Nothobranchius furzeri: one gene and its partners. The protein of the gene in region 5 binds, or shares a complex with, the protein of the main gene of each other region. Links are inferred from orthologs where the notes say so. Each region holds a gene or a part of one and is shown on either strand. Other genes may lie near its edges. The genes, in order: nup188, nup160, ranbp2, nup107, nup153, cetn3 and nup205.

Evidence for each region.
Region 1: nup153 (region 5) and nup188 share a complex: the UniProt entries of both Homo sapiens proteins name them as parts of the nuclear pore complex. The link is inferred for Nothobranchius furzeri from reciprocal best matches to the Homo sapiens genes NUP153 and NUP188.
Region 2: nup153 (region 5) and nup160 share a complex: the UniProt entries of both Homo sapiens proteins name them as parts of the nuclear pore complex. The link is inferred for Nothobranchius furzeri from reciprocal best matches to the Homo sapiens genes NUP153 and NUP160.
Region 3: nup153 (region 5) and ranbp2 share a complex: the UniProt entries of both Homo sapiens proteins name them as parts of the nuclear pore complex. The link is inferred for Nothobranchius furzeri from reciprocal best matches to the Homo sapiens genes NUP153 and RANBP2.
Region 4: nup153 (region 5) and nup107 share a complex: the UniProt entries of both Homo sapiens proteins name them as parts of the nuclear pore complex. The link is inferred for Nothobranchius furzeri from reciprocal best matches to the Homo sapiens genes NUP153 and NUP107.
Region 6: nup153 (region 5) and cetn3 share a complex: the UniProt entries of both Homo sapiens proteins name them as parts of the nuclear pore complex. The link is inferred for Nothobranchius furzeri from reciprocal best matches to the Homo sapiens genes NUP153 and CETN3.
Region 7: nup153 (region 5) and nup205 share a complex: the UniProt entries of both Homo sapiens proteins name them as parts of the nuclear pore complex. The link is inferred for Nothobranchius furzeri from reciprocal best matches to the Homo sapiens genes NUP153 and NUP205.

What each region holds. Positions count from the first base shown.
Region 1 is NC_091746.1:61,212,051-61,216,065, reverse strand, and holds the start of nup188 (nucleoporin NUP188), read left to right. Parts: upstream 1-1,215; 5' UTR 1,216-1,275; coding exon 1,276-1,301; intron 1,302-2,469; coding exon 2,470-2,524; intron 2,525-2,722; coding exon 2,723-2,796; intron 2,797-2,869; coding exon 2,870-2,954; intron 2,955-3,046; coding exon 3,047-3,127; intron 3,128-3,232; coding exon 3,233-3,277; intron 3,278-3,362; coding exon 3,363-3,455; intron 3,456-3,540; coding exon 3,541-3,660; intron 3,661-3,737; coding exon 3,738-3,949; intron 3,950-4,015. UniProt on the Homo sapiens protein: Component of the nuclear pore complex (NPC), a complex required for the trafficking across the nuclear envelope. Required for proper protein transport into the nucleus.
Region 2 is NC_091744.1:79,862,794-79,867,025, reverse strand, and holds the start of nup160 (nuclear pore complex protein Nup160), read left to right. Parts: upstream 1-1,432; 5' UTR 1,433-1,487; coding exon 1,488-1,578; intron 1,579-4,206; coding exon 4,207-4,232. Other genes in the region: fibroblast growth factor receptor substrate 2, read left to right, coding at 1-493. UniProt on the Homo sapiens protein: Functions as a component of the nuclear pore complex (NPC). Involved in poly(A)+ RNA transport.
Region 3 is NC_091747.1:23,239,305-23,242,804, reverse strand, and holds part of ranbp2 (E3 SUMO-protein ligase RanBP2), read right to left. Parts: intron 2,458-3,500; coding exon 2,374-2,457; intron 2,285-2,373; coding exon 2,130-2,284; intron 2,048-2,129; coding exon 1,774-2,047; intron 1,634-1,773; coding exon 1,281-1,633; intron 1-1,280. UniProt on the Homo sapiens protein: E3 SUMO-protein ligase which facilitates SUMO1 and SUMO2 conjugation by UBE2I. Involved in transport factor (Ran-GTP, karyopherin)-mediated protein import via the F-G repeat-containing domain which acts as a docking site for substrates.
Region 4 is NC_091741.1:38,096,653-38,100,724, reverse strand, and holds the start of nup107 (nuclear pore complex protein Nup107), read left to right. Parts: upstream 1-1,272; 5' UTR 1,273-1,369; coding exon 1,370-1,377; intron 1,378-2,178; coding exon 2,179-2,258; intron 2,259-3,312; coding exon 3,313-3,402; intron 3,403-3,474; coding exon 3,475-3,569; intron 3,570-3,680; coding exon 3,681-3,816; intron 3,817-3,891; coding exon 3,892-3,995; intron 3,996-4,072. UniProt on the Homo sapiens protein: Plays a role in the nuclear pore complex (NPC) assembly and/or maintenance. Required for the assembly of peripheral proteins into the NPC. May anchor NUP62 to the NPC. Involved in nephrogenesis.
Region 5 is NC_091759.1:104,986-109,247, reverse strand, and holds the start of nup153 (nuclear pore complex protein Nup153), read left to right. Parts: upstream 1-1,462; 5' UTR 1,463-1,496; coding exon 1,497-1,574; intron 1,575-3,834; coding exon 3,835-4,066; intron 4,067-4,143; coding exon 4,144-4,262. Other genes in the region: ptdss1b (phosphatidylserine synthase 1), read left to right, coding at 1-40, 136-233. UniProt on the Homo sapiens protein: Component of the nuclear pore complex (NPC), a complex required for the trafficking across the nuclear envelope. Functions as a scaffolding element in the nuclear phase of the NPC essential for normal nucleocytoplasmic transport of proteins and mRNAs.
Region 6 is NC_091746.1:37,904,235-37,908,289, forward strand, and holds the start of cetn3 (centrin-3), read left to right. Parts: upstream 1-1,255; 5' UTR 1,256-1,399; coding exon 1,400-1,416; intron 1,417-2,267; coding exon 2,268-2,406; intron 2,407-2,771; coding exon 2,772-2,886; intron 2,887-2,969; coding exon 2,970-3,161; intron 3,162-3,530; coding exon 3,531-3,574; 3' UTR 3,575-4,055. UniProt on the Homo sapiens protein: Plays a fundamental role in microtubule-organizing center structure and function. As a component of the TREX-2 complex, involved in the export of mRNAs to the cytoplasm through the nuclear pores.
Region 7 is NC_091744.1:88,204,316-88,207,815, forward strand, and holds part of nup205 (nuclear pore complex protein Nup205), read left to right. Parts: coding exon 1-50; intron 51-125; coding exon 126-250; intron 251-319; coding exon 320-434; intron 435-511; coding exon 512-661; intron 662-782; coding exon 783-857; intron 858-948; coding exon 949-1,106; intron 1,107-1,186; coding exon 1,187-1,267; intron 1,268-1,345; coding exon 1,346-1,537; intron 1,538-1,623; coding exon 1,624-1,825; intron 1,826-1,914; coding exon 1,915-2,013; intron 2,014-2,093; coding exon 2,094-2,242; intron 2,243-2,312; coding exon 2,313-2,504; intron 2,505-2,565; coding exon 2,566-2,687; intron 2,688-2,789; coding exon 2,790-2,922; intron 2,923-3,015; coding exon 3,016-3,142; intron 3,143-3,219; coding exon 3,220-3,293; intron 3,294-3,385; coding exon 3,386-3,500. UniProt on the Homo sapiens protein: Plays a role in the nuclear pore complex (NPC) assembly and/or maintenance. May anchor NUP62 and other nucleoporins, but not NUP153 and TPR, to the NPC.

The DNA of each region.
Region 1 (4,015 bases), on a different chromosome or scaffold from region 5:
ATACAAAAGCAGGTTCGCTTCTTGTTTATACCGATGTAAAACTCTCTTGTGAATACATTTCACATAATACATTTCCTCATTTTGATCTTGGCAAATGGTCAAAACTTCACCATTTATTTCCACAGGTGGGAGTAACTTAACTATATACGTGTTGGTTAAACTTTCAATTCTGGTACCGAGGGCTATTTTAAAACTGCTCGACATGTTTCTGAAAGCTTGTCTAGCTGCGTGCTATTCTGCTCGATCTGCTAATGTAAAGTAACTGTATATGACGTCACGTCTGCGAATTTATGCACTTTGAGGCGCATGCGCATTCTAATTAATTGTAACCATCTGGAGATGATCTGTCAAGTAGCTCCACTCTGAGGCGCATGCGCATTCTAATTAATTGTAAGCACCTGGAGATTAGCCAGCTGTCAAACAGCTCCGTCTGCGTGTCGGCGGTCACGTGGTTAATGTTTTCCTCTTCCAAACAGCTCAGCGCTGCCAGCGTCTTCTGGCAGAACTGGATGCTGAAGCCATCATTTTCCCATTTCTACAGTAATATTTTGGTGATTTTTGACAATAAAGTGTATTGATTACTGTAACCGGCAGCTGTCTGTTTCGCTTTATATAGAGGAGCGCTGCCGCTGCAGCGTCCTTGACAAGCCAGACAGCCATTCTAGATATTTATAGTTGTTCCTAGCAGTAATTAACATCCACACCAACTATTCAGAACGACTATTTCAGATATCTGGAATGTAACTCCTAATTCCGTTTCTTCTTTCTACAATGTTCATTCTTGACAGGAAGTCTGTAATTGTGGAAGCGCTGTAGAAGCCAATAAACATGAATGGGAAATGTGATGTCATTTGTTACATTTCACATATCTAAAAAAAACGGTCATGCTGGACAGTAGAAATGTTCTCGTGGATATCTGGAATTTTAATTTCTACTAGGAACAATACAACACATATCCAGTCTGCTTAATGTTAAAACGAGATATCTGAAATAAGTGAAACCAGTTTTAAAATAAAAGAAAATGTATTCAGTGATAAGTAAACAGAACACCTAAATATGAATTCAAACAAAAAATGAAAATTGAAAATGAACAGCAAAAGTGCCTCAGTAAAGTAAAATTTAAAACAAACCTGCTGCAAGGAACTGAAATTAAACGTTTTGTTCAGAGGAGGGCAGTAAAGCATCATTAAGCACAAGTCCAATTCACGAAGAAGAAAGTTTCCGTTTGTAAAGACGTCAGACACTTTACTAACCAATCACAGGGCAGAATCTAAGATGGCGGAATCGGAGATGAGTGTCAGGTAGAAACATAAGCGACTAACTAACATTTATTGTTAATAAATAGTTAAGAGACGTTGATAATGAGTAAATCTGGCTACAGCCCGTGTTCATTTATTAAATCACAACTGTGGCAACAGAGTCATTTAACAGTCTGTTTTAAAAAGAATTAGCACCATGCTCGTATAGCTTAGCATGTGCTAGCAGCTAAACATTTCAAAAGGTTTTTGTAGCGCGGCGCTACCTCACATGTCAACAACAGTCAGAGCTGTTGTCAGCCAGGGAGATTTTTCTGGCAGAGATAGAAAACGCGTGCTGATGTCAAAATTATTACGTCTTGTAGTAAAAGAGGCTAGTCTATTGAAGCTAAACCCATCATTTAGACACGATGGAAAAGACCGTCTTAAGTTGGAATTATTTTAACGGACAGATTTTCTAAAATGAACCCAACAGAACCTTAAACCAATCGTAGTAAATAAACTGTATTATTTAACAGTTTTACCATAAATAAAAGGCTTATTGAGGAACATTAGAGGACATTTAAAAACTGCTGAATCTGTCAGACCGGTGTTGAGAAAAAACTTATGGGATTTCAAAGAGGCAGATTGACAAAGTTGTTTTATATCAAAGCTGGTACAGAAACACGATTTAAGAGAATTTAGTTCAAGGTTTTAAGGAAAAACAATAAAGCATTTTAATTCTGTATCAACCTTTGTATTTAAGGCAGTCAGTGAGGATGTTTGAAGTGTGTGTAGTGGTTCCATTCATATTTAGTTGTATTGTTCTTGGTGATTCAGTACAGTGCATTAGCTCAGCATTCTCTACAATCTGACCTTGATGATCATTTGGGTTTGAATTTCAGTTTTCTTTAAACACAAACTAAATCTCTCTTATTGTGTTTTAAATGCATTGGGTGGGTGCATGTGCAACATGCGTTTGACAAACAAAGATATGTATAACCTGATTGACAAACTTCACATCTAATTGAGGCATAAGGAGTCCGGGCAGGTCTACAGTTTTGCCCAGGACACATTTATGTTTTATCAGTTAAATGCATCTGAGGTCACTCACAAATGCAGCCTGTCAAGTCAAATTTGCATATTGTAGTATTTTCCTTGTAGTGGATCTGCATCATATCTCATTTATTAAAGGTTATTGATTTGCTGACTTTCACCTCTCTTCTCCTCTTAGGAGCTGTAGAGAGTTATGGACCATTTTGCTGGGGAAGTCTGCTCTGAGAGAATCGGTATGTCCTCCTCACTCAAAGAGAGCGTATGCTGAACTTGACCATCCAAAATTTTAGACAATTTATCCATAAGTAATTTCCTGGTTTAACTCATGCTATTCTAACTTCTATATAAACACACACACACACACACACACACACACACACACACACACACACACACACACACACACACACACATTTGTATTTTTGGTGCAGGCTCAAATAGAGGGAGAGCTTGACAAGCACTGGGACAGACTGCATCAGGGACTCAGTTACTACAAGCCACCCAGGTATAATTACATCAAGGTATTTTCACATCAGATACATGAATAAATGAGTAACTATTAGCTTCACCTCCCGTAGTTCATCCTCCGCTGCGAAAGTTAAGGAAAACAAAGATGTTGCACAGCCCCTGAAAGACTTTGGTCTGAGGATTAGTAAACTGCTGGTAAGCATTTAGATCTTTTTATGTCACAGAGGGTGGATTCTTACGTTTTCATGACTGCTGGTTCATAAGGGATTGTTGTAATAATGTTTTAGAATCTTGATGAGCAGCAGAGTGTGCAGCTTTTACAGTGCTATCTGCAGGAGGACTACAGAGGAACTCGTGATTCTTTAAAGGTGTTTGCTTTCAACTTTTTTTGTTCTATAACTTACTAGAAAAACAAAAATCCACTGGTACTAAATCATAGGTCTGAAGAGATTTAACAGTAGTTTCTGTGACAGGTTGTTCTCAACGAGGAACGGAAGAGTCAGGCTCTTCTCCTAAAGGTATGCACCCAAACTAGCATTACGTCACTTCTGTGCCATTTTCCAATCATTTCTGTTTTTACTAGTGTTGTTAATTTTTTTACAGATCGCTGATTATTACTATGAGGAGCGCATGTGTCTGCTCAGATGTGTCCTGCTGCTGCTGACATACTTCCAGGATGAGCGACACCCCTATCGGGTGAGACATATTTCTTTTTTTAAATGCATTTCTTCCTGATGTGATGTTTTTTTGTGTAAATAATCCTTGTTTTTTTTTTGTCAAGGCCGAGTACAGTAACTGTGTCAACAAGTTGGAGAAGGACCTGGTGAACAGCTATCAGTCACAGTTTGAGAACCTCTTCAAGGCTGAAGCACCAACATGGGAAACCCATGGCAACCTCATGGTAAACACTGGGTTTATTTTTACAGCAGCGTACTGTAGCCCCGTCTGCTTCCTTACACTCTTCTTCTCGTTTGCAAGACGGAGAGACAAGTCTCACGGTGGTTCCTGCAGTGTCTGAGGGAACAGTCTCTGCTGTTGGAGATCATCTTCCTGTATTATGCATACTTTGAGATGAGCCCACCCGACCTTGTAAAATTCACCAAAATGTTCAAAGAGCAAGGCTTTGGGTTGCGTCAGACTAACAGACACCTGGTGGACAAGAGCATGGACGTGCTGGTTGACCGGATCGGGTAAGGTCACCTCACTGACTTTGTATTTATGTGTTAAAATTGGATGAATGTATTTATTATTGTAAG
Region 2 (4,232 bases), on a different chromosome or scaffold from region 5:
ATCGCTCAACGGCTTTAACCACGCCCCCTACAGCTTGCTGCATCACCCCTACTCCCACCCTCTGTCTGCTGCCCTCGAGTCTTCTCACAACTATGTCAACACAGAGAACGTGACCGCGCCACTCAGCGCGCACCGGCCTGACACAGCCCGCCGTCGAGCGGATTGCCCCACCATTTTTAATTTTGAATTCCGCCGACCGCCTCTGCCGGGCCACATGGAGCCGACTAAAACGCTCAACTACATCGAGGTGGAGATGGACAGCAGTGGTGGAAACAAAGGTGCCTCTGATGGCAGCAACCCTCACACACCCCGCACCCCCACCTCCCCGCTGCCCCCCACCACACCCACGCGGCGCACAGAACCCTATGCGCTAATCGACATCGAGCGCACTGCCGCCATGTCCAGTCTACAGAAGGCACGGCCGCGGGACGACGGCACGTCACGCAAGACGAGACACAACAGCACTGAGCTGCCAAGCAAGAGCGCAGCGTGATGCGCATGGAGCTGTGCACGGACTCCTCAGATAGGAGATGGATCGTCTTGTAGTCTCACCTGTTCAGGTGAACTGGTACTTTATACCTCTGAAGGTGATGATGTAACAGACTGCTTTCCTTATATGGTACACATCAGTATTACTGAACAAACATTCCAGTTATCTTTTTGTACGAGTCACTGTGCTGCTGTAAGATGACACATGTACAGTAGAGCTGACACAATAAAGTCTGCTTCTATTTGAATCGGCTGCCGAGCGAGCGCCTTGCTTCATCTCTGAGCCACACCGCCATTCGCAACACAAATGCATCTGTCCATTAAATTCAGTAATCGGTGCAGTCTTTTCCAGTGAAGCATCTGCTGCCACCTAGTGGTCAAAGTGGCAGCAGCAGGTTCTCGGGTGGAGAAGCTGGAGGAGCATGTGGTCCTGATATTTATGTGAGACTCCACAGATCTCCAGAAGACGTGGAAAGTGCCAAAGTCAAATATAGAATAGAATAGACTTCATTAATTCCACAGTGGGTAATTTGACTTGGTATGGCGGCACATTCACCTGGAGAAATGAGAACTAGGAACTAGGCTATTATCGTAACCTTCAGCACTCAAACAAATGAATAAAATAGAGTAAAATAGAAAATCAGGGTTTCGTTTTCCCTTCAGCCTCAGCGTGTGTGTGTGAGAGAGAGAGACAGACCTTCAAATTAACAAACTTGTTTTTTTATTAAAATGTGAAAAAAATTCATTTATGTTTTCTTATCATGCCATACCATGTATCTGACTTTGTTAAAAAAAATCCGTAAAATGAGTTTTGAAGTTAACACCTTCAGTCGAAATAAATGCTCTGCGGGTGATTGGGAACCCATCCAAGATGGCGGCCCGCTACTGCTACGTTGCGTCCACAGACATATCTATGGTTACAGTGGGGCGTTTATTTCACTGGGTTTCTAAGATGCTGCGTGCGCAGCTTTCAAGTGTCACGTGGCCCCACGGAGAAGATGGCGGCTGTAATGGAGAGAAGCTTCGTGGAGTTTTGCGGGTTTGAGCGGGAAACAGAGCGCCGGTTCCGTGAAGTCACAGTGAGTCCAGGTGAGTGTGAGTTCTGATTAATGAAGTCCAGTTAGGCATTACTTTTAATGTTCCATTCACGTTAACTGGATCCCGCGCTGATCTAGCCGCGGCTAGCTACGCTGTCCTCTCGCTCTGCGCGTGCTCACATGTCTCTGTGATGTGAAATGTTCAGGGCAGCTGCACCGAACAGGTGAGCTCTAGTGAAACAGTTGTATGGTCAACTCAAAGGTTGCTCACCTGTTACTCATACTGAACAGGGGCGCAACTGCCATCATTCTGAGGGGTATGTAGGTGCATAACAGCCCACCGCAGATCAAAGCTGCGGTGTAACCCAACCTGAGGCAGCTAGGCTGGATTACGGTGTCTTCTTTATGGAGTCAGTAAGTCCTCTTCACGCAGAAAGAAAGAAGACGATCTTTAATAGAGCGCCTCAAGATAAAATCACGAGGATGTGGAAGCTCAACCCTAATCCTGCAGAAGTGTCAAGGACTTTATTTAGCGAAGTGCAAGTCTACACCAGGAGAACATGACGTATACGACACAGGTGAATACCTGTAAGTGAACATTCAGCCAGAGGGATTAACGGTCAGAGATGTGGATTGAGCCAGGTTCATCTGAGATCACCTGATTTTGTTGCAGAGCAGAACAAAAACACGACATGGAGATGACTTGATGCCACAATTCCCATCTCTGTTAGTTCTACAAATACGTGCAAAAATCCACAAGCATCAATCGTTTTGAGACTTTTTGTTAGACGAGTGAGAAATTTTGTTTATAAATAGTTATACATTTTTAAGAGAATAAGGGAAATATGGCATCTTATGAGCAGATTTACATTTATGGATCTAGCCAAGAGAATAAACACGTTCGTTGCAAAAGTATACTTATTGTACTTTTTTATTCGGTCACTACCCAAAGCTTGTGACCATAGGTGAGGGCAGTGTTGGGAACGTTACTTTAAAAAAGTAATTAGTTATAGTTACTGATTACTTTGTCAAAGTAACTCAGTTACTGAGTTACAAGATTATAAAAGTAACTAATTACCAAGAAAAATAACTACTTAGTTACTTTTTCATTAAAGCGTGCAAGAGTTACTACAATAGTGAAATATAAATGACTAATGATTGGAACATAATAAAATGAATGTCTAAATGTTTTTTATAAACCTGAACGATTTAAATAAATAAGCACTTAACAGGAGGAACTACTAACAGGAACATTACACTTATCTAGACTATTAAAAGGTCACTGTGTGATTTTTAACAAGACCCCAATCAGCTAAAATTTAAAATTGCAAATAGAAACACCTGTAAAGGTTCCCGAGCCTTTAAATGGTCTCTCAGTCTAGTTAAATTACAGAAATAAATGTAATTTTGCACAGCATTTTAATTTTTCCAGCTTCACATAATTGTGTGTTTTTAGCAGCATTTCTGTTGCTGCTAATCTAGTAACGGTTAAATAAATAAATAAAATCCTTTAAAATGACACTAGAAGAGGCACAAGCCTGATGGAGGACTTACATTTACTAACTTGGGTCAGACCCAACCACAGAAGAGCTGAAGCTGGGTGGTAAACACACACAGGTAGTTCTAGTAACACCTGAGCTCCATGCCGTCTGAGACTGATGCATCAGTGTTACAGCGGGACTAAAGACATGATCAGAAACAGGTTACAGCTGGATGATCTAGGAAGGTAGAAGATCAGGACGTCGGAGCGGTGAACAGGTGAGCGGACCTTCGGGACGTCCCGCTGTCACGCTAAGAAGGACACGGCTGCAGACCCGCAGATTCGCTGCCGCGCTGCTTAACGCACGCATTTCCTTATCAGTAACAGAAACGATCGTTTTGTTAAGACGGTAATTAATTAGTTTGCTCGTTACAGAAAGAAATATATATATCTTTTTATTAACGTGGTTATTTTAAACGGCGTTATTCCCATCACTGCTCAGTTGGGTCTACAGCAGGCAGCAACTGAGACAGTGAGAACACTGAGGGTCTCCGCCCACCCGGCTAATCATCATCGTGTTTGTAAGCGCGTTACCGACACCTCTCTTCCTGGCTGCAGCTGAAGTGTGGCGGTCAGAAAGCCTCACGCTGCTGCTCAACGTTCGACAAGAACATAGTAACGCACAACCTTCCATCCCCAGTAACGGTAACGGCGTTGCAACAGTGGGAAAAGTAATTAATTAGATTATTCTGTTACCTAAAAAAGAACACCATTAGTAATGCCGTTATACTTAAACGGCGTTACTCCCAACACTGGGTGAGGGTAGGAACGTAGATGGACCGGTAAATCGAGAGCTTCGCCTTCTGGCTCAGCTCTCTCTTCACCACGACAGCCCGGTACAACGCCCGCATCACTGCAGACACGCTCCAGTTTTCCCTCACCCGTGAACAAGACCCCGAGATACTTAAACCCCTCCACTTGGGGCAGGACCTCATCCCTGACCCGGAGAAGGCATTCTACCCTTTTCTGACTTTGCACTAGTTTTATATTTATAAATTCTGTGTCCTTTCTGAGCTTACCAACATTAGTTGTTGTATGAAACAGTTTCACATCATTATTAGTCACAATGGCTGTTTGACCAGGCAGCTGGTTAGTTCAGCTTCGAGGTGACTTCATATCTGTGTTTTTTTTTTTCTGCAGGTGTGAGCGCTCCAACAGTTGGGATC
Region 3 (3,500 bases), on a different chromosome or scaffold from region 5:
TCAACGGAGGTTTCATTCATTGACCAATGAGAGGACAGGATGTTCCCTACATCTCCGAGCAAACATGGAGAAGTTGATACTTCCTGTGACGGATTTCCCAGAACTGTACAATATTTCTACCAAAGAAAACAGAGATATTCACAAAAAGGCCGCGGCATGGGAAACTGTTGGTTTTTACGTAGTAAAATCAGAAGTAAGATTTCAAATAACTCTAGCAGCACCTTGTGAAACATCACATCTACCGCTTTTTTAACTCTGAACCGCCGGTGTTCTGACTATCCGTGCTTCCTCGTCAAATTTTCCTACCAACGCGCATTTCAACAGCTGATTCATTCTGTCCAGGTTTGCTGAAAATCGGTAGCTACTGTTAATTTATTTTATGAAAAAAGGTGGATTGTGTAAGAAGCAGTTTAGTCATTTTGTAAAAATTAAACCCCTTAGTTGCTAAAAACATTTGAATATCCTCAGAACAATGACGATTTACCAACTACTTTCACCCATGTCGAGAAAGTGATTCATAAAAATGGAGATTTGTAAGACGTTAGCTCTTACTGTTCTATTTCTCTACCTAATCCTGTATTAGACAAATTAATCCACATAGAACAAATATGCTTTCTCCCCAATATTTATAGTTATTTGTTTGAATGTACAATTTTGGAGATTATTATACAACTATGATAAATTTATTATATGTATAATATAAAACTTTTGGATATTAATTTGGGACTCTTTCAAAATGACTGTAAACAATGGGAGAAATTTCTTGTTTACAGTATAATAACGATATTTTAGAAGCCATTTGCAAGCTGTCAGGTAAACTTACAGCAAGCAGTAATTTAATTAAACAACTTAAAGAAATACTTACTGTGACCTTCGACGAGTTGAAAGTAACTAGCTAAGTGACGAGATTAAACGTAAACTTCCACAGATAACACGTCTTGACTTGTAAACAGCCTGTGATGCAATAATTGGCCTGTGCATTCCCCCAAAGTAGCACATTTCGACAGGGGGCACGGATAGTCGGAACACCGGCTTAAATAACCTTAATTCCCTCCAACCTGACACAGCCAATCAAAACAACGGAAGATTCGATTTCACCATGGAACAGAACGCGTCGTCGGCTTTGCCGTTGGCTGCGGGTTGCCTCCCGTGTCAGGTAATAAAAGCGACAGCGATGAATTTCGCTGATCGCGGTCGTTTGTCGCCTCCCGTGTTTCAAGCCCATAAATGTTAAACTCATCAGGCTAAAAGCTGAGGCTCATCACAACGGAGACCCTCACCTGACACATGAAATCTGGTATGACCCTGTGGAAGATGGAGTCCCGTAGCCCAAAGCCTTTCTCTCCGACGCAAAGAACCCTAAAGTTTTCTGCCGTCTTCGGAACAATATGAGAGAAAAGCTCTATAGTGATGGTGCCCAGCGGCACATTGTCAGCAGACACTTTGAGGAACACCTGAGGATTGGTCTTTCTGGAGTGCTCTTGGACTCTGGACATCTGTTGCCAGGTAATCGAAGCATCCTCACCGATTTGGCCCATCCGGTTCTGACATTCGCAGAAAGTTTTACGGAAGGACTCGGCTATTTCTGGGGTTTTGAACTTAGCTGCCAGCTGCTCTACGACACCATCACCGTCTAGAATGTGGAGATAGCAACAAGTAAGCAGTCAGGAAGATCAGAGAGTACCACAGGGTTTTTTATGATCCACAAGTCTAAAGGAGCTTAGTTTTTTTACACTAAATAATATCAGCCTGAATCCTGTTCAGGATGTGTACCTGAGTAGTCGGTAGCGGTCCAGACCAGCGCGTTAGCTGAGGTGTTCATGGGTTTGAGCTCCATCGTCTGTGAGATGGTGTGGTTGGCACAAACCCTCAGCACCTGCTCTCTTCTCATCAGGATTCGATAAAAGTGTTTGGTTGGGTGGAAGAGGATCTTGACGTCGCCGATGCCACGCTCCTTCCACTGACCGAGGTCCCGGTCCCATCGGAAAAGCTTGGTGCGCTCTTTAAACAGGATTTCCTCATCTTCCTCTCCAGACTTAGTCTCCACCTGAGACACAAACAAACCTGATTTTCAAACGTTGCCTCTAAATCATCGAATTGTCTTAAAAAGGGGAAAACTATTCTGATACCTCAGGCAGGGATACTATAGGCTCAAAGTGAATGTCCACATTTTTAGGAGCCTCTTCTTCATCACTTCCATCCTCATCAACATTGCTTTTAGCCTCGGAGGACATATTGGACCCAAACACCATCGCTCCAGCATTTGCCCACGAGAAACCAGAATCTATGCAAACAAACAAACAAACATTTGTTCCATTAATTCTGAAATATTTCAATTTTAAAAAGACGCCACTTAAAGTCAATAAAACCAACCTTTTGTTCCAAACGCAAACCCTTCAGTATTCTTGGCCAAGTCGGCAAAAGAAAACCCTCCAAGGGAGTTGAAACCAAAAGAGTCTGCATCAACAGGGGCAACGTTATTAGTGACAGAAACAAACTGATGTGTTGTTTTAATGCAGCAGAGAAATGTATCTGACAGCAACATGGTCCCTGTTAAAATGTGAAAACAAACTAAGTCATCAGAAGCTGAAGAAGACACATTGTGCATAATTAAAATGTAAGTCCCAGTTTTAGAAAGGTCACTATGTTCTAAGTATAATGGTCACTTAGAATCGGATCTGTTTTTAAACAGCTTCAACATAAAATCTCAGATCCAAGAATAAAATCATCCTCCAACAGTCGTTTGGTTTACTAAACGTCTCAGACTCCGATAAACAGAGGTGTTAACTAGGGATGCTCCGATCACGTGCTTTTCAGGAAATCAGAGTAAGGTGAGAAAAATCTGATTTAAACATATAAAACAAAAACCATAACTTTTTTTAAATTTATCAAAAAGATTTTCATGCACAATAATATTGGCTTAGTTTTAAATTCGACAAGTTCCTCTACATCAGTATTCTTTGTTTCATTTACAACACCGTAAGTCTCACAATTTAAGGTAGTCCGGGAATCCACGCACCATAACACGTAGCAGTTAGCTAACACAGAGCATAGTTGTCACCTGAAGAGAAAGAAAATGTCTGTACTTTGGATGCATTTTTAACTGAACTTCCCTGTTGCTGAAAACAGACGCACAAAAGCGGGGTTGTGTGGCTATGTCTGCCTGCATTTGCTGATTGTGCAGAATGTTGCAGCACGATCTGCAAACGATTCAGGGCCAACTAAGAGCGAGTTGGCACAGTCGAGGCGAGAGTGTATCACAGACTCCAAGTGCGACCTTTTCAAAATCGGCTTCAGGCCAGCCAAACAACAAAGTTGAAAACAAAAACACGACCTCACAACTGCATTGATCATCGTAAACCTCACATCTGATTTCATCCCAAGGCTGGTAACACACCTCTTGAGGTCCAAACTTGGAAGTGTCGGTACCCCACAGGTGCAAGACTGGTTTTTGGGGACAAAACGAATGGCCTCAGTCTTCGACTCATTAAGTTTAAGGA
Region 4 (4,072 bases), on a different chromosome or scaffold from region 5:
CTGTTATTTCTAATAAAAACTGGTAAAACTTGACTAAATTATTACGTCTTAAAATCCTAATCTGCAGTTAGAGTCGGTTTAACCATAGTTAGCTTGTTATTTCATGTGATTCAGCATAAATGTAGCTGATTCGATCCGTTTTCCGTGAGTCTGTGTGATTCTGCCACGCAGCAGTGGGGAAACTTTACCTGGGAGGGGGTCTCCATCTTCCCTCTCTTTCCCTCTTCCTCCCGGGAGCTAGCGGGCCTGAAAGCCTGTCCTGCCGGTGCCGGGGGTTCCAGAACCGGTACCGGGGCTGTAACAAGTGGGGTTTTAACGCTGTTCTCCAGAGCACCGCGGTGAGCCCTTCTGTGTTCCTGCTTCCTACGTAACTAACGCCGTTAAGCGGACCGGAAGGACGCAAAGAGCAGAGATTAAATATCACCAAGATGACTCACTCCACTATGAAAAATAAAATTAGCCCAGAAACCAGACAGGAAAAGAAGCCTTTATTTTTGTTTCATTCAAATGCTGCTGTTGTTCTAACTAGTAGATATATGTTTATGCAGGTTTAAGCAGCTTCCCAGTTTTTTTTTACATGGAATAACTGCAATGACTTTCAATAGGGAGTGCCACAGGGTTCAGTTTTGGGACCCCCCTTGTTCATTATGTATTTAATGCCATAGGACATAATGCGTTGGATGCTAATATGTACTTTCACGCTGATGACACAATCATTTTCTGTTTTGGAACACCTCCAGGGCCGGTTCTAGGTAATTTAGTGCACATGGCGAGACTGCCCATGTGCCCCCCCCCCCTGCCTGCATGCCTCTCACCCAAAACCCACCCACCCACCACACATTGGAAAGAGCAACTCCACAGTTATTCCTTAGTTACTAATTTTTTATTTTAAACATTCACACAGCAACTCTTCAAAGTCAACAGCCTGAAGAATAATATAAGCTTGAAAGAAAGAAAAAGAAAGAAAGAAAGTAACCTGAGAATATTACAATAATATAATATAATATAATTTGCTGTCAGCAAATACCTCAAAACTTTAAATAATGTTTTTTTAAACCTGTCCAATCACATGTTTCTTCCAGTGTTACACATTTATTTATAACCAGGTAAGTTCATTGTTAGAACAGCATCTTTAACGTTATAACGTGTTATTTTCCTGTTCTATAAGTAAACCATCAGCTACTTTTATGAGTATGTACAGTCTATGATTCCAACACACAATCGAGAGTGCAGTCTAGAGTCTGACCTCTGGGGGCAGCAGAGACTGTAAATGGGAATTGACTGCTGAGGAAACTAAAACAGAAGAAGACTTTTTTACAGCATGGTTTGCAGCTAAACCTCCTGAAGCGGGAATTGATTCCTCTGTACCATGGAATGGTAAAAGACGATATTTAAATTATGTAAAAATGTAGAAAGCTTTTCCACCGCTGTCTGTTTTTTTTGATTAGCCATTCGTTTAGTCATTTGTAGGTAACTTTAGCGGGAGCTAAATTAGTTTGCGCTGCTAGGTCTTCCGTTCATTATGAATGTTGATGCTAACCGGCTAATTTTTGTTGACATGGTTAGTCGTTGACGTTTCGAGTGACAGGTTATTGTCATTTAAGTGAATTAAGCTGTGCAAAATTGAAAAATATAAACAATATTTCAGTGTTTGCCGAAGTGGAAGAAACCATGTAACCGTTGATGTAATTAAGGATACGATTAATTAGGTGGCTACAATTATTTATTGTACGCATTTCATCAAACAAACCTTTAATAAGATATTATTAAAAATGCCTTTCGTATGCTTTAGTGGTAAAGTTGTTGAATAATACTTTAGTGCGGCTTGGTTTATTTTACCCGAAGGGTGTCCCCGTGGAGACTCTTAAAGTAAAGAAAACATCAAATCTTCAGACAAAACACCGAATAAACGAATACAATTCTGGAACAGAAAACCTAGGAATGATCTTTAAGTGTTTCTGATGTTTATTCTGACAAGGCCTCTTCATCACCATATACTTTCCTTCTTGTCAGGTTTTGCAGGAGTCTGTTAATCATCCTTAAGGAGGATTAGGAAACGCTGGATTAAAACAGACGAATCCATTTTTTGTTCATGTGTTTTAAATGTTTGCGTTAAAAAGGTGTTGTGTGGGAACGTGGTGATGCTAATGTGTTTTAATGTGTTGGCTTGTCTTGAAGGGGTGAGAGTGAGCTGCAGTCTCCGGTGGTTCGAGATGACTATGTGACCGATGCTGCCCGCAGGAGGAGCAGGGTGGCCTGTATCCTCCTTTTTATTGTATTTATTTAACCTTTATTTACCCAGATGAGTCGATTGAGAACTCATTCTCATTTACGACGACCATCTGGCCAAGAGGTAGCGGCAACGGACAGTTAGCTTTACACCAAAGAAAAACATAAGATAAAAACATACAGGATCAAAATAAGATAAAACAGTCAGACATGAAGACAAGGGGCTGTTCTCATGTATAATGTGTACAAGCAATCAAAACTGACTCCTAAAAATGTGTTTGTTGTCGTGAAATCTGTCAAAGATTTGTAATAAATATGGTTACATGATGCAGCGTTCCTTCGCTTTTATGATAAACAGGAATCACCTGTAATTGCTGTTTAGAGGCTATTTATTGATAGAATCAAGTTGATGCTTAAAGAGCAAGTCACCCCGAATCACATTTTTTTGCTGATAAACTATATATAGGAGTGTCTAATCATGCTACAGACACGTGTAGTCAATAATTTGGCAGTTCAGTGCATCTTGGTTAAAATTCAAATATTCTGCCTAAAACTTTCAGTGTTGTGCGGTTGTCAGGGAAAAATTCTGCACTGTATTTGAATTTAAATCTGCCACCGCTATTGGCTAAGAGGTATGCTATGATGTCATCTGGTATATTATGATGTCATAATGCCATTGTGAGCCTGTGTGTGTGTGTATTTGTTAGCGGCTCTGCCCTCTCGGTCTGCCAAGCAACAGCATTTGTTGCATTTTTCAAACATGATGTGGGAGTGGAGTAAGTTTCTTGTAGGGGGTGACTTGTTCTTTAAATGATGTCTTTCTAATGTACAAATTAGTGTAAAATTCCTGATTAAGTCTTTTGTTGTTATTATGAAGCCAGATTTTCTTGTAATCTGGATCAGTAGTTCTTCACAGATTCCTGAAAGTTTTTCAGAGCTTTCGTTTGGTTGCTTTACACCTCGTATGTATTTCTAATTAGCTACAAGTGATGAAATTCTTGAGTTTGGACCAGCACATTAATGGTTCTTATTTAGATTATAATGTTGGGGCCATCAGTGTTGTTCTCTTGACTTTTGTCTCAGTCCCATCACCTAACACCGGTAGCCCAGTTGTTCCCATGGCAACGCCAGCTCGTACTCTGACCACCCCCGCTTCGCTTTTCAGACAGGCTGGTAAGACGGATTTCCTCCTGATGGTTGGTCTTCAAACTGCACCACATTGAAACTCTGTCTCTTTTGTCACAGTAACTCCCAGAGTTCCAGATGTTTCCTCCATTCTGGCGTCAGGAGCTCGGACCCCTCGATATCAGTACACTCCCAGAAGCACTTTGGGCAATCTGGTGAGAAACTTGAGCTTACATTTAGAGCATACTCTGTTCTCATTATAGTGAATTTGTGTGTGTGTGTGTGTGTGTGTGTGTGTGTGTGTGTGTGTGTGTGTGTGTGTGTAGAACTTGGACGACAGCGACTGGACCACCAGCTTTTACACCTCCCCGGCTTCTGGGTTAGGGAACACCAGCTGCTTCAGTGATGACGGTGCCAACCTCAGCTCAGCGCTGCTGAAGGAGGATGACCCAGGAGACGCAGGTGAGTAAAACAAACACCCCCAAGGCTTCGTCTTGTTACTCTGCTGCTCCTGATGCTGGACTCTCATCTCTTCAGCGGCCGCCAGTCTGTTTCCGGAGTTCCTTACTTCCTTTCTGAAACATTCTTCCTCTGCTGTGTTTGAGCTTGTGGAGGATTATCAGAACATCTGCAAGGACAAGGTAAGTCAGGAGGAGCTTAAACACACCCTCTGAGGGCCTTTATCAGGATTTATTAGTTCCATTAGTGGTGCATTTAG
Region 5 (4,262 bases):
GATGACCATGACGCCACTGACTCATCAGCTTTAGTCCCAGGTGATCGTAGACGTCACTTCCATAATAAAAAAGACCATCTTCACTCATTTGAAGTCCTAATATTTCCTGTAACTGTACCTTTATTTGTTCCGTAGCTCAAACGGATTCACTGGGAAGTTTGCAGCCCACAAAATGGAGGAAGGTTCCTTCCAAGAGCAGATTTGTCATCAAGCATGGAGAAAAGAGACAATGAGCAACGCTAATAATAAATATTCATTCATTCTGAGAAGAAGAATGGATGTAACATGAAACAGCAGGGATATTATTATACTGAATGCATATTTAAAGTTGCATCAGTGATTTTAAAAATCCAGAATGCTAATAAAAACATTTGTCTGGTTGACTCCGGTTCAGGTTTGAGTGTAAAAGCTAAAATTCAAGGCAATGAAGCTTCATACTACGGAGGAGGATTGGGGCCACTGATAAAGTCATAAGTTTTACAGCTGATTTAAATTTTTTTTTCTTTCAGTGCCCTAATCTTCTTCCGCATTACACACACATGTACACTGGTGGTGTCTGGATTATTTTGTGTAAATATTCAACAAACGGCTCAGAATGTTGAAAGTAAAAACTGTTTTTTGTAGATCTGTTTCACCGTACTCCGTTCCACTTACAACCAGTAAGTGCATCTGCAGAAATGGAATGTAGCCCTTGTTGACCTACTCTTTTAGGTCTGCGATGAAATAGGGAGGGCATTGCCATCTTTAAAAAATAGTTGGCCATCCCTGCCTCGTGACCTGTGGAAGCCCTCTGCCCCACACACACACTCCCTTAAAACACATTTATGTTCACACAAATCATACATTAATCTTTTTTGATCAAGACATAAATAGATGTCAGTACGTTTATTTTGATCGATTGTTAATAAGTAACAATAAATACCGTATTCAATAAATCTGTATTTAAAAATATGCTTGTGCCACAGAACCTCCTCATTTTAATAAAAAGGCATAAATCCCAATAATTTTGTTATGACAGCAATGCGTAAATTAAACTTTTAAAACCGTCAAATAATATGAAACAAGGCCAGTAATAACTGGATTTATTCTGAAATGTTTGTGTTTGTCAATTTTGAAATTATTATTGCCACGGGGACCAATTTGGTGTGCCACCCCAAATTTTCACTGCCCCCCATCTGGCCGCCCCTGTGAAAATTGTTTAGGGGTAGCCAGCTATTATCAGATAAATGAAAACAACATCAATCATTTTTTTTATTTCAAGACTATCTTGAATTCTTTTTTTTTTAAATAAGCTAATAGTTTTCACCCCAGTCTCAATAAATAATAATCCAATAAATAAATGCTGCGCACAGAAAAACGGCTCCATAAAGAGCCCTTGACCTCTTTTGTTATGGTCACTCACTACATTACCCACAATTCATCTGCCGGCGGCCGCTGTGCTGGATGACAGCTATCCGGCGCCGAAACAACGGCAGACTCACTCAGACGACAGAGCCATGGCGGCCACGGGTGGAGGGAAAATTAGAAGCAGGAGATGTCAGATTGCTTCTAAACCTTACGCCAAGAGTAAACAGGTAAATCAAGTGAAAGTTTCCGTGTTAACAGCCTCAGTCGAGCACAGCACAGTGATTGAATTGCCACAATTCTTCAGTTTGTTTTGTTATTGTTTTGTTTGAGACATTTTATGGCCTTCAGTTAGCGCTCGTGGCCTCCACGCGCCGCTAGCATGCCCATGAAATGCTAACAAACTAGCAAGTTGGCTTAAGGTTAGCAAAATTAGACGGACTTGACAGTCAAATAACGACAGTGTATCGTCCAGAAAACTTAGTTAGTTTTTGTTTTAGCTCAGATCCCTACATGAAAAGCTGAGATAATAATTTTGTAAGTTGAAAGTGATTAGCCAAGTTAGCACGAAGCGAGGAAGTAGAATTTCAGCTGCTAATTGGAGCTAACCCACTAGCATCGGCGTACAACGCATTGTCTTTGGTGCTTTTCAACATCGCAGATTCAAGTGACACGATCATTTATTCCGTCGTTACATATTTATTTAAGTACGTGAACGTTTATAATGCAGCTGTACAATAATACCACTGAGGTATTATATAAATGACTAGTGTAAGTCAAATCTCAGCCTGCAGAATTGCGCAAGGAGCGTTGGGTTTATTGGGAACCCACATGGTCCCCCTGAGGGATAATCTACCGCCCTGATGTCAAAGTTGACGTTTTTAAAAGCACTCTAAAATGTAGACATTAGGCAAGACGTGGCTGGGCACTCGGCGGTTTCTCTGATCTGTTTTGTCATCTCTTAAAATTTCCACATAGTGTGTTTATAATAAAATGCTTAAGTCTCTAGAGTTGCAGAAATGATATCTAACTAAGGTCGGTGTATTAATAAATAATTACTTTGTCAGCAGTGTTTTTATGACAAACGTTGTCCGTTAATTATTTAAAATTTGCTAAGTTGACCATAAACAACTCTGCTACATCAAAACATGTGCATCCATTTCCACCTCACTTTAAAACTTGTATGTTCTTATTCTATACAGGCCTGGCACTCATGTTTTTGCAATAAATCAGCCTTTATTGAAATCAAACAAGTACATAAGATGTTAAACATGCAGGTTAGTGGCAGACACAAAGCTGATGGTTGTAGGTTATTGCGCAACCTTGCTGTTTACCACATTATTAGCGTTGTATTATGAGGTGTTACAATTAGAAGAAGTTGCATTATTTTAAACAAATAACGACAAGAACAAGTAAAGTCTAGTTTTGCAAATGCTAATAAACTAAAGATTTGCTGTGGCTTTTTGATTTACATGGTAAGTAAATTAAACATTCAGTTCTTGTGTTAGCAACATGCTTGCTTCTTGCTAATATTTGTGCCATGTCACGAAGATCAGAAAAGTTTTTCTGAAAGTACCCAACTGCACAAGTCATTAATGTTTAACTGTTTGGAAAATTTGGGGTAATACAAAAATGTCAAATACAAATTGCAGCAACCTGAGACGAGCTGCAGAAAATCTGACATCTCTCTGGGAGTTTAAAAGAAGTCCAGTTGCTTTTTGTACAACTTTAATTCACTTTTAATAGAAACATTAAGATTATTAATTTTGACTTGGAAGAAAAATAAATCTGGATTTAACCATGTTTGCAGTTTGCTGCAAGTCACCACAGTTGTTGATGTGCAGCAGACTAGTTGGAGCACATTCTGTTCAACATAGTCTTGTTTTCTTTAGATGAAAGGGAAAAATAAACAAAAGATGGGATAGTGATTTTATAAATGAAATGAAACAAACTCAGTATTTTGGGTTAATCAAAGTGGAATCGTTTAGATGATTCATGAATAGCAGGTTTTCAACCCATCCCTCTTATAGCTAGGCCCGCCATCATGGTACATATGTGACACTAACAGTGGGTAATCCCAGTATGATGTTTACTTATTAAAAAACACCCATAAGGAGGAAACAAATGCCTTCATTCATAATTGTGGCAATGGCAGCATTCAGTTCTGCCAACATGGGTTGGTAATGAGAAACCACACAACGCCCAACTAATAAATCCTGTTTCTGTAAAGCTGAAAAATGTTCTTTAGTTTATTTATTTTTGTAACAACAAAAGCAAGTTTTTATACGCCAAAGTAAAGTTGTTTTGTTTTTCTTTCATTAAAAAATTATTTTCATTTTTGCTGTGTGATTGGTTATGTCTGTTTCTTTTAGGGGACATATACATCTGTAAAACCTGGAAATGTAACAAAAACATGCTTATTATTTTGTTTTTCTACATTCCTTGTATATTCTTTGTCTAACGCCATATTTCTTGTGTCTTGATCTGCAGCAGTCAGGCCTGATTAGTCGAGTGACGGACACGGTGAAGAGCATCGTTCCTTCCTGGCTGCAGAAATACTTTAAGAACGGAGATGCTCCCGAAGGAGGAGAGGGAGGACAACGGACAGACCAGAGCTGCCTGCTGCCACCTCCTCCTCCTCCTCCTCCTCCGAATGGTAATGAAGAAGGACCTCCTTCTTTTGATGGACGGGATTCACCAGAGCCAAGCACCAGTAACACAGGTTAGAAGTTGCTCAGAAACAACATTTTGCTGTTTCTTCTGTCATTCATGATATTAACTTCCCTTTCATTTGCACAGAACCCTCAACAAGTCACGCATCCCTGAACTTTCAGGAGTACGTGCTCTCCCGACCTCCTCTTAGTCGCTCTCACCTCCACTTCAACCCGCTAGATGTGTCCTCCCCTACTTTTGGAGCC
Region 6 (4,055 bases), on a different chromosome or scaffold from region 5:
TAGTTACAGTTTGCTTCAACTATGAGACAGAATGTAAAAAATCCTGGAAGTCACACTGTAAAATTTTCTAAGAAATTATTTGTATCATGGTGCAGAAGATACATATTTAGTGCCTACATATGTGCAATAATTCTGGTCCTCACATACCTGTTACTTCTTCTTTAAGAAGCTTATCTATCCTCCACTTGCTGACTGAATTAGTGGCAACTGGTATCTGTATAAAAGACACCTGTCTACACCTTCAGTCAGTCAGACTCCACCATGGCCAAGACCAGAGAGTTGACAAACGACATCAGTGTCAGGATTGTACACCTGCACAAGATTGGCTTGAGTAAATCCACAACAGGTAAGCAACTTGGTGGGAAGAGATCAACTGTTGCAGCAATTATTAGAAACTGGAATAAATACAAAATCACTGACAGTATTCCTCGACCTGTGGCTCTGTGTAAGATCTCACCTTGTGGGGTACAAATGATCTTGAGAATGGTGAGGAAACAGTCCAGAAGTACATATGGGGAATTAGTGAATGACCTGAAGAGAGCTGGCACCACAGTGACAAAGGTTACTACTGGTAACATACTACATTGTTATAGATTAAAATCCTGTGGCACTCAAAAAGTCCTGGCGATGTTAGAACATCCACAACTTAGTTTAGAGAAAGAAGATTTTTCCTATGAAAGAGCACTCTTTGGTGGGCAAAAACTAAAAGCAGCACTTTTTGGCAACTCTGAACTCTGGCTGCTTAGAATTTCTGAAAGTTAAGATTTAACTGGGCTTGGAATAATAGTTTTATAAAGCAGCTTGAACGTATGAGACTTTAACAGCTGGTGGAGAGGGTGTCCCCCCACCCCAAAATTTTTTTTAAAACAAAATCAAGATTTGAGGTTCATAAAGACCTTGTGAGTGTTACATTAGCACGTGAAGTCATTAGAATAATTCTCTATGTCCAAATTCACCAGATATTGAAAATTTTAGGAGAATTTAGGTACCTTACATAATATACAGGCCCTTTCTTCTTCTTTATGCAATGGTGATGTGTCAGAATATTTTTGATTCATCATTGGTTTGTATGTGTATATATATATATATATATATATATATACCGGGCATATGTATATCCATCCATATGTATAATATAGACTGTGGTATCAGTTATGAACACGAGGTGGCAATAGTGCTCTAATTGACTGCATAGAGCAATGACAACGACCGGGTAAGCGGCCTTGAAGAAGTAACATTAACCAACCAGATCTCGCCTAACTGCTGCCTGGCAACCAGCGACCAATAGGATTCCTGGTGTGTGAGCGCGGATAAACGGATTTGTTGTGTTTGCTGGAAGCTGTAGCCACATAGCATTCAGAATAACATTTGGTTTAAAGGTTTTATAAATTCACCTGGAATGAGTTTATCTCTAAGGTAAGGAGCTAACCTTTTGTCGCGAGATGTGGCTGTTACAGTTCAGTTGAAACCGGTGGTACGTCGAGATTTGTTCCCCAGTTGAAAAACGTACGCCTTCGCTTGTCTCGTCAAGATGATTTCGTCCTGCCAAATTGTACAATTATAGGCGTAGATGTTATTTTTTTTATCAGGATAAGACATTTATGAGGGAACGAGTCCCTTGTGTATAACTGTAAATTGAGTAATATTATCTAATTGTATCGTAATCTGAATTAGATTAGAATTAGTGATATTCACTAAACATGATGAATTTCACAGCTACAGCAATGACCAAATGATTAAGATATATATTTTTAGGGATTTTCTTGAAATAATATTGCTAAACACAACAGTTTACAAAGAAGCTGGCGGAGAAACGGTGGGGGACCCGAATGTACTAGTTTTTTGTTTTGTTTTGTTTTTTTCCATCTGTCAATAAACAATTTCCCCCAGACTTTTGGAGGTCCTCCCAATGTTTTTGGTAAATGTGGGTTGTTTTTGTTGTTGTTGTTGTTGTTCAGCAGAGGCTTTGGAGAATGAGGTTTACCTTATTGTTGACACATGACCTTAAACCTTAACCAAGTTTGACCTACAAAGCTTTAGATGTTCTTCTGGGTTATTTTGCTTTTGATTTTTTTTAGAACAAGGCATAAGGTAGATTTTTTTAAGATCCTTTAGCCTACCCTGTGTCATCAGAGAGACCCCAATAAACATTACAGAAAATGGTTTAGTTCTCATTGGATAACAAAGTGTATGGGTTAATGCATTAATAAGTCATGGCTGTGATACAGGTAGTGTCTGAGGTGAGACTGCATGTGTGTTTGTTTCAGCAGAACTGATCTTGCAGCTGAGACAACCAAGCGCAAGAAGAGGAGGGAGCTCACCGAGGACCAAAAGCATGAAATTAAAGAAGCTTTTGACTTATTTGACACGGATAAAGATAAGGAGATTGACTATCACGAGCTGAAGGTAAGAAAATGGGCCATAGTGGTGGTTGTTATGGTTACCTTATGGTTTTTGTGCCTGAAATAATGCCGTATATAAGTTATGCTTTTATAACCTCATCATTCCTATTTTTCTTTAACTGCTGTGAATGTGGAGCACCAGGTATTTATGTATTATTATGTAAGTAAAAGTAACTAAATACCATTTAATCACCTTTTGGAGAAACGCTAATGGGTTTTCCATGTCTGAAGGCACCCTGCTGAAATAAAGCTCCAGGGGAATTGGAGCTAACGTTCTACAGCAATAACATTTATTTGTTGTTTTAGTGCTAGTTACTAATTGTTCTAATCCTGAATTCAAACCAAAACAACATTTAAACATCTTGTCAGGTGGCGATGCGCGCTCTCGGTTTTGAAGTGAAGAAAGTGGATGTTCTGAAGATTCTGAAGGATTACGACAGAGAGGGAAGTGGGAAAATCACCTTTGAGGATTTCAGCGAAGTGGGTAAGGTGGTCATCGGCTCTGGTATTACCTCATAGCTTGAGGTGCTTCATTAGCTACTAAACCTTTTCCCTACCCCTCAACAGTTACGGATCGCATCTTGGAGCGAGATCCCAAAGAGGAGATCATGAAGGCTTTCAAGCTGTTTGACGATGACGAGTCAGGAAAGATCAGCCTGAGGAACCTGAGACGGGTTGCTCGAGAACTCGGGGAGAACATCAGCGACGAGGAGCTACGCAGCATGATCGACGAGTTTGACACAGACGGGGATGGAGAAAGTAAGACCGGAGTCTGAGATGAGAGCAACTCTGTCTCTCTTTTGTTGTGATTTTGTGTCTGATTAGAGCCGCAGATGCAACAATACCAACATCATCACTGCATCTTCTGGCACACACAGGCATTTTAATTATTTATATGATTGTTCCTAACATTGTTGCTTTCACTGTTAGACCAGATCCTGTCACGTCAGCAGGCATCTGCTGCCCTGGAACAAAATAGATTTACTAACGACAATGTGTAAACATGTTCAGTTAAAGTAACAAAAATCCACTGCTGCTTCGCTTTTTGTTTGTTTTCTTTCATTCTTGCGTCTAAGCTTTCCAGGTAAATCCAGTAGATCTGACCAGGTGTTTTTCCCTTCTTTTCAGTAAATCAGGAGGAGTTCCTCTCCATCATGACCAGAGACCCATGAAGAGGTTTCCCCATCTGTAAGTTGGACTCTTTGCCCATATTGGGAGGAGATATGGGCCTTGTTCTCTTGCTTCTGAGGTGGACTGGACTTTATCAGGAGCCTGGAGCTTTGTTCTGACTTGGTTTGATAAATAAAAGCACCAGATCGTGTCTGGACCAACATCTGCTCACACTGCTCAGTTCCTCTCGTAGACATGAAGTGTCAATATGATGCTGACCTGCTGGCATTTCTTTAAGAAGCGAGCTTTTATTCATGGAGTGTGTTTGTGTAGAAGACGAGTCTGAAGCTCCGTTAGGAACGTGTTAATGTGATGTAGTAAAACACAGAAGATCAGATCTGTTTCACTCGTATCCTATTTGACCTGTTGCAGTTATTAGTTAAATGTGGCATATTTATTTTTAAATTGTTTTGCCAACCCTACTCATTTGTCATTTCCCAAAGAGCCAGAGTCGTCAGACCCGGCACCATCATACTTTAATAA
Region 7 (3,500 bases), on a different chromosome or scaffold from region 5:
GGGTTATGAGGTCAAGAAGCCCGTTTGTTCCACAAACCTCCAGGATCCTGGTACGGGTTTCACACGACTGATCGGCGTTGGGTTTGAGCTTTAAAGGGTCACATCTGGATTTCTGCCTTCAACAGGCGTGTTGGGATGTCCACGCAGCTGCCTACACGCCATCCTGAGTCTGCTGCAGAGAGGCACTGAGAAGAGATCAGGGCCTACCCTCACACAGGAAGCTCCTCACCTGGCGGAGCTCTGCTACCAGGTATTAACAACAACATGAGCCTGTAGCCTTGGATCTTTTCGGTTATCTGACACCTTTTACTCATCTCAGGTGATCTACCAGCTGTGTGCCTGTCCAGACACATCTGGACCCACCATGCGCTATCTGAGGACCAGTCAGGACTTCCTGTTCTCTCATTTGCAGCACCTGCCCTTCATCCTGTCAGGTGAACCCTGCTGAATGATCTCGGACTCGTGGCCCAGAAAAGTGTGAATCTGTGTGTTTGTTCTGTTTGGCCTCCAGGTAATCCGATCGCTGCCCTCTCCCAGATGTCGTGGCTCATGAAAACGGCTGCCATCGAGCTGAGAGTGACCTCACTGAACCGCCAGCGTTCACACACACAACGTCTTGTCAGCCTTCTTCTGGATGACCAGCCACACACCCAGCACACAGGTGGGAAGCGTGCTTTTCCTGGTGTTCACCTGTTCAGATGAGCTTAAATTAGGCAGAATGTTTATGAAAAAGATTTAAAAATATTCTCGGTTCACATCTAAAGAGATCTGCTTCTCTCTAGCTGACGGGGAATCCGGCATGGAAGAAGAAACCCGATCAGTCAGCGCTTTTCTGCATTTTGACTCCGCCTCCAAAGGTTTGCCCTGCCTTACTCATCAGTTGTGATGGTGGTTGGTTAGCAGACTTGTATTTGTTCTCCTTAAACGCGTCTGGCTTGTGTGCCTCAGTGCGCAGGAAGCTGCTGAGTGTTCTGGACGCTATCGACTTCAGTCAGGACCTGCCGGAGCTGCTGCAGTTGGACTTTTTTGAGCGTACTCAAATAGAGCAGGTGATCTCCAACTGTGAGCACGTTAATGAGCAGGGCCACACTGTGTGCAACGTCAAGGTGAGTTCACACGCACACAGCGTGAGTCACTGAGGGTTTCAGCGTGTTCGTCCTCGTGAACGGGTCTGTGTGGCGTGCAGTTGCTTCACAGGGTGCTGGTGGCCGAGGTGAATGCGCTACAAGGAATGGCAGCAATAGGACAACGGCCCCTGTTAATGGAAGTAAGGGACATCTCTGGGGCGTTCCTTGTGATTCACACACACTCATTTAAACGCTTGAGCTAACTGTTGTCTTGGCAGGAGGTGAACTCCATCCTGCAGCACGTGGTAGAACGCAACCGCGTTCGCCGGAGTCTGAGCGCAAAGCGACACGCGCTGCAGTCCTGGAGGAGCCTCGTGGAGACGCTGCTGACCGCCTGCCCAGCTGATCTCATACCTGCTGACGACAGGCAGCTCATCATCAGAGACTTGCTGCTGGATCTGCATGATAAGGTGAGGAAATGTTCCGTCGTATTGGGTATTTACACCATTTTCAGTGCAGCGGTGTAGAAAACTGCTCAACACAAATGTTAATGCAGGTTTTATCGGAGGATGCAGCAGGAGAGCTGATGCCCATTGTTGCTGGAGCCGTCTTCACCCTCACAGCTCAGCTCAGCCAGGCGGTTCTCTCCGAGCAGCAGCAGGGCTTGGGATCTGAAACGTCTTCTGGCTTTGCGTCCATTGCTAATTCATCCCTTCATTTAATCCTCCGCAAGCTGCTAGACTTCATTCTGTGCACCGGTTGGTGAATCCTTAAAACTCCTTTGGCTGAAAGAATCTTTATTTCCTGTTTTGTTGATCAAAACATTAAAAAGCTTTAACACTGGCAGGAGGAGGATACCAGCGTCTGCGCGCTCACCTGTATGGCTCTCTGCTGTATTACCTGCAAATGGCTCAAAAGCCTGAGGAGCCAGACACTCTGCAGAAAGGTGCAGCTGAACACACTTGCTCTTTGGTGAGGCTGTGTCTGGATAGGGTTCATCATCTCAGAACGTCTCTGTCTGTGCAGCTAGTAAAGCCATGTGGGAGCGTCTCACTGCCCCTGAAGATGGCTTCTCCAAGCTGCAGAGGGAGAATCTGGCAATAATCGAAAGCTATGGCAAGTCCCTCATGGAGGTTGTGTGTAGGGATGCCTGTGACGGCCACGAGATAAGCAGGGTAATTAGTGAGACCACTCTTTACCTTCTCTCTTGAGCCCATGGTTGACTTCCTGTTGTGTTGGTGTCAGATGCTGGCTTTGGCGGTTCTGGACCGTATCCTGTCAATAGACCGCCAGAATCAGTGGCTGGTGTACGTGTGCAACAGCGGCTACCTGCGTTCTCTGGTGGAGAGCGTGAGACAGGACGACGCCGCCCTACAGAGCCTGCTGACCCCCCAGCCACCTCTCCTCAAACCACTCTACATCTACGAGAGCAAGATGGTGAGGAAATGATTGTGGCTGCCAGCTCTGAACGGTGTTGAACTCTTCTGCGTGTCTCCAGGCTCTCCTCACCCGTGTGGCTAAAAGTGGTGAAGGAGCGGTGGAGCTGCTGCGCTGTGGCCTGGTGGCTCAGCTGATCGAGTGTCAGGTGTTTGACATGGTGCCCGAGAGCGATTCCCTCAGGTGTGAGACTTGCCTCTTCCCATTAGACCGTTCTTGTTTATTTCTGTTGAACTGACATGTTCAGCGCTGATTATCTTTACGTTTGTTTAAATGTGGCCTCAGGATGACGAGGGATCCATCTGGCTTCGTACCGTCCCCTTTAGACCGCTACCGGCAGATTCTTTTGCCGACCTTGAGGCTCTTTCAGGTGATCCTGACGTCTACATCCATAAATCACCAGCAGGGGGCAGCGCAGGTGAATATTTTCTACCAGACATAAAAACATGTACCTGCTTCTAGCTCTGAGGTGTAAGAAAGTGGAGTGTTGTGTTGGTTCGGGAACATAAAGGTTCTCCAGTGGCTGATCGTCCACGCGGACACCGTCCAGTCCCTGCTGCGCTGTCAGGATCTCACCATGGGAGCTCTGCAGGAACTCTCTCTGCTTACTGGCATCATCAGTAAAACTGCACTGCCAGGTATTCAGCAGTAACTTACCTCTGTGTGTGCAAACTCTCCGTCTGTGACTTATGGAAGGGACTTCGTGTTCATCCAGGTGTCCTGGAGACGGGTGGAGAGCTCAACAGTGCTGCTCTCATGGAGTTCCAGGGTCACATTAACAGATTCCAGGTGAGACCACCTTAAATGTTCTCTGCAGGAACCTTCCAGGGTCCTAAATCAGCCTCATGGTGTGCAGCTGGTAACAGATGTGCCTCTTGCAGCGTTTGTGTCTGGCGCTGCTGAGTCGCCTGGCAGGAGGGGAACGGGAGAGGTTGTTGAAGCAGGCGGAGATTTCTGCACCTGCAGATTCAGCCGAACACAGAGAGGAGATGGAGG